Saccharomyces cerevisiae S288C: one gene and its partner. The gene in region 2 interacts genetically with the main gene of each other region. Each region holds a gene or a part of one and is shown on either strand. Other genes may lie near its edges. The genes, in order: FRE7 and FRE2.

The links.
Region 1: of FRE2 (region 2) and FRE7, extra expression of one rescues a mutant of the other (dosage rescue), as found in Saccharomyces cerevisiae (one study listed by BioGRID).

What each region holds. Positions count from the first base shown.
Region 1 is NC_001147.6:38,589-43,264, forward strand, and holds FRE7 (putative ferric-chelate reductase), read left to right. Parts: upstream 1-2,159; coding exon 2,160-4,022; downstream 4,023-4,676. UniProt on the Saccharomyces cerevisiae protein: Cell surface metalloreductase. May be involved in copper homeostasis.
Region 2 is NC_001143.9:8,484-13,084, forward strand, and holds FRE2 (ferric/cupric-chelate reductase), read right to left. Parts: upstream 2,744-4,601; coding exon 608-2,743; downstream 1-607. UniProt on the Saccharomyces cerevisiae protein: Metalloreductase responsible for reducing extracellular iron and copper prior to import. Catalyzes the reductive uptake of Fe(3+)-salts and Fe(3+) bound to catecholate or hydroxamate siderophores.

The DNA of each region.
Region 1 (4,676 bases), on a different chromosome or scaffold from region 2:
AGGAATGACAGAGTATAAGCCGTTATGGTATACTACTACGAATACATAATTAAGAATAGGGTTTTAATGTAGTTGCTTGTATATCTTCTATGTTCCCCTTTTTAAGCACCCCTTAGAAAATATATATTGTCGAGGATTTTTCTCCAGAGACCATGAAATGAAAAAGAATCCGAAATATGCACTCCTTCGACCAAGGCTTTAGAGCACCCTCATTTAAAGCCCGACCTGTAGTGCATATGCAAGATTAAGAAAAAGAACAGAGAGAAAAGTCCGCTTTACCATAATGTTAATTTATTCTAAATGCTCTCATTGACTTTTATTTCACCGACCCTGAGTCAAATTTTCGACCATGTTATATACATGCTATTTAGTAATCAAGTGATTAATTTTACCGAACTCAAAGTTGCAGCCGCAGAAAATAGTCATCTGATAATCTTATATATAGATCCGACTTATTAAAGGACATAATTTTCAAAGAATCGGGTACGTGCCTAATGCAATCATGTCGTGTCAATCAACTTCCCCCATACTATATCATTGTTTTACGCCACGTTAATAGGAACCAACGAATTTCTTAAAGCCAATCCTTACTGCTATTTGCAGATGGACTGACGGTTATGCATTCACTAACACCCCAGGTCTTACCGTACCACATATTTAGGTGCAATACTAATCAATTGTCTCTTGAACAGTAACGACGAAAGTATGAACTTCTTATCTATGCTATCTTCAACGTGATAGTTTATGCTACTTTGCAGATGTTTGAGTTAACCTGCTAAAATATATTAAAGCAGCTATAGTTATTTTGAGTTGGTCTATACAACTTCAGGAAAATGTCGTTTGAATATTCCTGCACAACGCTGGGATATTTACAACCAAAGATGCCACTACAAATAATAATGACATGTATATGAGAACATTGCAAACGATTAACGCTGCTCACTTAATGCTATGTAGACTTCAATATATGTCTTTGAAAAACGCTTTTCCACAATCACAGGATAGCAGAGGGATGCCTAGAGGAATACTCCCCGGCTAAAAATGCCTGAGACTGCCCATATATTCCCACGGTAATTATCCATATAATAACGAAATTGAGTTTTCTATAAGTAACATCAGCCCATCACCCATTTATTTGTTCTATAGAATACTATACTCTTTTGCTCCAGTGTCTTACCTCAAGTGGACGCGCTCTCAGTGCCAAATACAGAGACAACAAGGACCTGGAGAGTTGTTCATAACAAAAGTTTCATCATGCCACCAGCGTAATGACAGCCGCAGCAGTGTTTGACCAATTGAACTATGATAAAACTACATTATGGTTTCTGACTATGTCTGTACATCCATGCATCATCTTTTGAAGTTTTTATTTTGATAGCATCCTATTTTGTGACTCTTACTTTACAAGAACGCCAACATAGGGAGTGATTGATATTCTCTGAATTTATCTGGATACAGCCAATGACATCCTGAAATACCTATAGTGACAGTAGCGCATTTCCTGGTCATTTATTAATGGTTTTAGACACAAAATGAAGATAACAGATAATACGAAAGTATCTTAAACTGCAAAGGGGATCTATACGCCACGACTTACTGAACATCTCTGACCAATAGAAGATCCCTCAAGTTTATTAGGCAACTACAGTATGTTATTACAAGAGCATACGCCTGTATTTGGATGGCCAATGAACAAGGAGGATATTTTTTCCACATATAAGTGACCGCCATTAAACAAGACATGTTTGAAATAACCTCCTTCTGTCATACTATGTGCTCACTATTTTCAGAAAATGCGGTTGAAAATCCTCGTCTGCGCAAATTGAAAAAGTCGATATACGTTTCAAGTAACGCAGCCGAAATGCCCGTTTGCCAAGCTTATTATATTTGGAAAAGTGTCAAATTATAGTGCTCGCATCTGGATGTACCGCGCATATTTCTTAGTTAAGCAGGATGTATAACTGCGCATTAATACGTGAGCATTTGCGCAAATTCACTTCTTAAAATCTCTGAAGTACTTCTTCATTATGCACTCGTTTGTTCTCAAGATCATATAAACCATGCCTTTATTACCAATACTAAAAGTTTTTTATTGCAAGTAAAGGGATATTTCAAATTTTTATTTCAAAGTTTATTTATATACATCGATAAATAATAAAATGATTGAAGAAAGAGATTTGGTTTTAAGCAATGGTATCCATTGTATTGCTGACATCCACTCCGAACTATACGCCAGGTTAAAAAAAGAATCGCAGGCAGCGACACCATGGGTGTACCAAAAACAATACGGAAAATTCGTCACTTACTTTGTCGCTGTGATAATTTTTTTGTCTTTGATAAAAAAGCTGGCATTTATGTATTATGATTCCAGTGAGGAATTTCTTCCAGAAAAGAAGAACTCGCCGACTACCCCTTCTGTATTCCTTGCTCGAATAATGACGAAACTTGTCGCATTCAACAGATACATTTGCTACAGGAAATTTCCCACGTTGATATTTTCTTATTTAGGTATTCCGACATCTGTGGGTACTTTTTTAGTAGTAATGGCTACCACTTTATACACACTTCTATACTGCTTTGTTCCTCATCCATTCTACAGACCTTGTGCAGGATTTGGTTCGCCGCCTTTGTCTGTTCGTGCAGGCATAATGGCAATATCTTTGGTTCCGTTTGTATTCTCACTTTCCGGGAAGATCAACGTTATAGGTTGGTTGGTTGGGCTTTCGTATGAAAAAATCAACATATACCACCAATGGGCATCCATTCTTTGTTTATTCTTTAGCTGGGTTCATGTCATTCCCTTCCTACGTCAAGCACGACATGAGGGAGGATATGAAAGAATGCATCAACGGTGGAAGGCATCCGACATGTGGAGGAGTGGTGTCCCACCCATCTTATTTTTGAATCTGCTATGGTTATCTTCGCTGCCTATTGCTAGAAGACATTTTTATGAGATTTTTTTGCAACTTCATTGGATTTTAGCTGTTGGATTTTACATTAGTTTGTTCTATCATGTATATCCCGAATTGAATTCCCATATGTATCTGGTTGCTACAATTGTGGTTTGGTTTGCACAACTGTTTTACAGACTAGCTGTGAAGGGTTATTTAAGACCTGGTAGAAGTTTCATGGCCTCGACCATTGCAAATGTCAGCATAGTCGGCGAAGGATGCGTAGAATTGATCGTCAAAGATGTGGAAATGGCCTATTCCCCAGGTCAACACATATTCGTGAGAACTATTGATAAGGGCATCATTTCCAACCATCCATTTTCTATCTTTCCGAGTGCAAAGTATCCCGGAGGAATAAAAATGCTGATTAGAGCCCAGAAAGGGTTTTCTAAAAGGCTATACGAAAGTAATGACGACATGAAGAAAATTCTTATTGATGGGCCTTATGGTGGAATCGAGAGAGATATTAGAAGTTTTACCAATGTCTACTTGATTTGCTCTGGTTCAGGTATATCTACATGCTTACCTTTCCTGCAAAAATATGGCCCCATACTCCATAAGACAAACTTAGAAGTTATTACATTGGACTGGGTGGTAAGACATAGGGAGGATATATCATGGATTAGAGATGAAATGTGTACCCTCTCAAATAATTTGCGCCAGTTATTTTTAGATGGGAAAATTGTGGTTAGAATTTACGTCTGCTCGGACAGTACCGTCCCTGGTATTATTAAAACTTTCCCTCAAACAATAGACACCGCCAGTGACCAATCTGATTTAGCTAAAAGAGAAAAAGATACCGAATTCGGCCAGGATGATACTGAGTCAAATTCAACTTTCGACAAATCCAATAACGAATATAAAGGTCTCATCACCATTATTCCTTCCAAACCTGATTTGAATCAGGTCATTAATGATTACCAAATTGGGTTCAGGAACTGCTTCATTTGTTCAGGTTCTGACAGCCTAAGGTATACCGTCGGAAATTCCGTGGCAGGTTTACAGGCCAAGGTTTTTTCTAACAAAAATGTCGAAGAGTGCTATTTACACAGCGAGAGTTTTGGCTACTAGTAGGAAACAGATGGCATCCACCATGTGAAATATCATTCAAGCATTTCGGCAAAACCATGTAAATATTTGATTATTAGCGGGTAAATATGTAATAGTTATGCACTTTAATTCTTTTGTTCATCTAGAAGACAATACAACGCATTTCTTGGCTAACCATCTTACAGCCTTGAGGGTAAAGGGCGGGCAAACGAACAAAAGTACAAAATTTCCATCCTTGTTTGATAATCATTTCCTCGGACCAGATAAGAATGAGCAGCCGAAATAAACGGTAACGTGATTAAAACCGCTAGAAGAGTGTTTTTGTAAGGATGAAAACCTCAGTGAGAAAGTTGACAATATAAACATTATCAGCTTTTCTCGCCCTCTTTTGCACTTCCTGCAACATTACTTGTTCTGCAGCTTGTTTCTTCCAAATATATCCATGCTCTCGGTGTGCCACTTCTGGGGTTTCTCACCAATAACAGAACATATCCAGTATAATACATACACCATATTCACACCCTATTTCATATCATTAACCTCTTCATTTTTAAATGCCAGCGATTACTTTGACTTCTAATCAAGAACGCGAAAAAAAATTACCGCGTGAACTATGTCATATTTGCGATTTTAGGTACAATAAATATTATCATTATTATATTATGTTTGCATGTA
Region 2 (4,601 bases):
GAATCAAACTCTATCTTTAAGTATCCTATATGCATGAGTTATGTCGATTATATCGAAGACTCGGTGTGTGATATTACTCCACAGTACAAAAACAGGAATACAGAGAAAATTGAAAAGATATATGAACGGATGGTATGGTAAATAAAATAACAGCCATTATAAAGCTTGTGGTAAATTTTCCAGGACGGAAGTTAGCTTATGCAGTTTTGTTTATCTTCCTTGCATCTGTGTATAATACTGAAACACGCAATTAACGTTTCATAAAATTTGCCTGAGGGCCGTATAAAAATTCAGTGACCATTGTTCACACTTTAAATATAGCCAAATTGCCAAGAAAGGGTTTCATTGCAGGTTTATCGAAATATTAACTCTTTAAATACAGGGACTATACAGAGCTAACTTCTTAAGAAAAAAAACCATGCGACACACTACGACTTTCACAAATTCCATAAAAGAGATATTTAAGATTTAGATAAAATATCAAAGGACTGCTGTACTCTGCTTCAATTACCTCCTTACCATAAAGTTATAGGCAGCTTTCTCCATCGACATACTAAAATTTGGATAGGTATTATTAATGAAATGACTAGTTTTAAGTAAAAAATGATCACCAGCATTGATACTCTTCAAAGTACTCAATGGCTTTTGCAGACTTATCTAAAACTATTTTTGCGGTTTCATTCCTCACTTTGTCAACAAAAATAGGAGGTCCACAGCAAACCACAGATAATGAGCCACTCAATTCAGCCGCTTCATGTAGAAGTTCCTTAACATTTGGTCGCCCGCAATGGAAAACAACACCATCAAAACCAAGTGGATTGGCAGACTTTTCTAAAGTAGTTGCCACAACAGTGCCTTTTTCATCAGCCTTCTCATCCTGTTGAGAAATATCTAAACTATCACTAGGGGTTAATGATGGGACTTCCATTGTGTTGTAGATGTGAAGCTGTACATTCAGATTTTCTAAACACATCAACTCCGGCTTATAAGCCTCGAGTACGTCGAATCCTCTAACTGCAATCACTAATTTTACAGATTGTTTTCCAGCAGCCGCTGACGTCTTTCCAAGTTTAATTGCATGTGCAATAGGTCCAGGCAAACCGGTACCTCCAGTGAGTAACAATACATTATTGTAATTATTGACCGGAGATGAAGAACCATATGGACCTTCTATAGCTAGTCTCATAGATGTCTTACCTCCATTGCGACACACATACTTTTTGACAAGTCTTGTTACTCCCTTTTTTTCTTTCAGGATAATAACCAGTTCACCATTCTTGCTTACTGAATCCAAAACAGTAAATGGATGTGACTGCCAGAAGTACAGTGGATGTAAAAACGAAACGAAAACATATTGCCCAGGTTTGGCCCTCCATGGCCTTGCCGGTTTTTTAACTGTTAAACGAATGAGATCATCCCCGATTAGTTGTAGGGAAGCTTTGGGGAAACCAAAATAAGAAGCTTTGATAATTCTAATAATCCGGTCAACGATCCAAATCGCAATAGCAGTGTATATCCACTCAATGCCACTTAAACTAACAACATGCTCCCAACATGCATAAAAGAACATTGCACCAAGGACGATATGAAGAAAAAGAAAGGCTTCATAAAAATACTTCCTGAATACTGCAAAGGAAAAGAAAACCATTGTGCCAGCTAAACAAAGTGCTGCCACCCCGAATTGCCAATATAATCGGTTTTTACTTGTTGCCCAAGTTTTATTCGCTACCGTATAACTAGTATATGCAGAGCCATGAATCATAGCATCCAAAAACATCATTCTTCCCAACCATTTGTGAAACATAATGAAGGAAGTATATTTAACCCCAGAAATATACTCGAGAAAGTTGTTTCTTCCCGCGAAAAGAACTATTAATGGAAAGTGTGCGAATGCGAGTACACCACTTCTGTCTGCCACATATCGAGCAACTTGAACTCTACGAGACTTGAATATTATATTTTCAGGATCGTATTCATAACCGTATGCCAAAAAAACGGTATGAAGCACGAGATATCCAAGAATAATGATACCCTCTAATCTTGTAGGTAAATATCCTGTGAATATTCTAAAATAAGAGAAATCTGACGCATGTTTGCTTCCAATGGTAGGTAGAGTGAGGTATCCCCTTACATATCCCACAAGCTTTTGCTTCAATAGAACAGTTTTAAAGGGAGTGTAATTCATGCAATGAAGAACGCCTGCAAAAGCCATGATAGCGACAAAATAAGCACATATAATGCCACCATATATGTTTCCGACATCTAAGTTAGCATAGAAACCATGCAATGCATGATAGTAGGCTTTTCTTAACTGTGTATCCATTTCAACTGGATATGTTAGGTTTGCACTGCCTTTGACATAGGGCGTCATATGCCTCGTTCCGTTGTTTAGAACGTCATAAAACTCAGAATTAGTCATGTTCTGAAGAGCATCACTATAACTTGCACAGTTTTTTTTGATGGTACTAAATGTTTTTTCTAAGGTTTTATTCGAATAACCTTTTTCATCCAACGTTTCATAGATACAATACAGCATTGATTGAAACGCTGGTTCGTAAGAACATACTGGTGATGAACGCTTAGACTTGCTGGTATACTCCCAAGTAACTTTTTGAAAAATCCTCGTGCAGGCATTAGTGACAAGCAAGGGCACCTTGTTACGAATAACTGTCTTTGCAGGTGATGCTCTTGCTCCTGACAGGCAGAAAAGCAAAATAGCGCTCAAGATGGACGTCCAATGCATTATATTCGTTGGGTTTCATAAGCTTTGGATAAAAAAGACTTTATTACAACTGTAGCAAAAAATCATGTTCATTTTTTGCGACTTATATATTTAGTGGCAAATTAATGATACCTTGCAATAACCGAATTTAGAGTATGTTGTCCAAGAAAGGAGGGATTTTGTTCATCAGAAAAGAATTCAGAAAAGCAAGGAAACAGTACTATCGTTTAGAATGTAGAATGATAGGTTGCTTGCTAATTCTATTATGGCACGAATGATACACCCATATTTTCAACAAAATCAATACCCACTAGCATCATTGAGCCAACTATTTGTCAATGCAACCATTACCGGTACTTCATCCTGATTTAACGAGTCTACTTTTTTATCACGTCAAAATTTACTTGTTTTCCTGTAAACCCGAAATAAAGGCAAAAAAGACCTGGGTGCAATTACGAATAAATGTACAATAATCATCCTGTTTGCATAGTAAACTTCCAGTTAGAGTCACACAACGCAATGAATTTTGACAGTTTTCTGTGCGATATTCTTTGGTAAACGTAAAGAACAGGCAACTTTTGGTACAATGGATTCTAGCCCATATGGTTCATTTCTGGTGCATTCGCAAAGTCAGTATTTGTCTAGCTGTGTTTTCTGGCTGAGAGACATTATGATGTTATTCATTGTTATGGATATCTCTGTAGCTCATGCTGCTTATTTCTCCCTAAAAAAGTTTTTTCTCTCGAATACATTCTTGACCATTTCATAGTGAAATTCTTGTACTTATTTAAAACCAAAAATGGAAGTATTCATACATCCCCCTATCAAAAACACTCAATAAGTTTCGAATTATTCGTTCGTCTAAACAGTGTCCAATACTCAAAGGGGTATTCAAGACGGCACAAAATCAGCATCTTCCCTTATCCGTGTTCCAGAAATACCACGCTAAGGTTTTTCCTCCTACAATCCATAAAATCATTAAGGAGGCAGCTTGAAAAATCTTGAAATTCAAAAGAGTTATCTTGGGCTAATCGAAATTAACGATAACCAGAGTAGAATATTCAAGATCACAGCTCCACCTTAGTTTCGAGGTTGCTCTCAATGGTCTAGCTTAGTCATGCTTTTTGTTAAACAAATCTTGCCTTTTCTGATATTCTATAGTGTGGTCCAATCCAGATATTGGCGCATCCTAAACCAATTATAGTTCACTTATGAAGGGCAAATGAACACTCTTACCAGTTTCACAAATAATTAGTACTAGCTAGGCGGTCAAACTGACTAGCTTATTATAATATTATCGATGTAACATTTTTCCATAGTGAGGGAGGAAAATAAACCTTAAAAAAATATGCAAGGATTCTAGATTTCAGGCTAGTCTTCAACCACTTTGCACTTCCGGATTAAAGGCTTTTATAGAAAACATCTTGGTTTGGGACTATATTGCTAGGTGAAAATTTCAAAATTGTACAAAAGATCATTCTTGTTTTTTTGCCTCATTAGCTGATACAATGCGGAACTACATGGCGCTCTTTTATAAGCATCTACTATGGTACATTCTAAGTATGTGGATCTTGGTTAACACATAGACATTTTTTAACTTCTTGATATCGGTTCCGCTAAATTTGCTGATTATATTTGTTCACTAGGCCAGATCATAATGCCTGTAATATTGAGTACTTAATATCGATACTTGATATCCGAACAGTAAACGTTTGTCCGTAGTCATCGTGACTGTTGACGTATTAACTGCAAGAAATGATGGAAAAAATTTAGGTATATTTGCAGATGAAAACTCTAGAACACTGCCGTTGAAGAAAGAATGGCTTCAGCCGTCATGCTGTCTATCTGTTTGTAAACTTTTGGAAGTTTTACATATTTT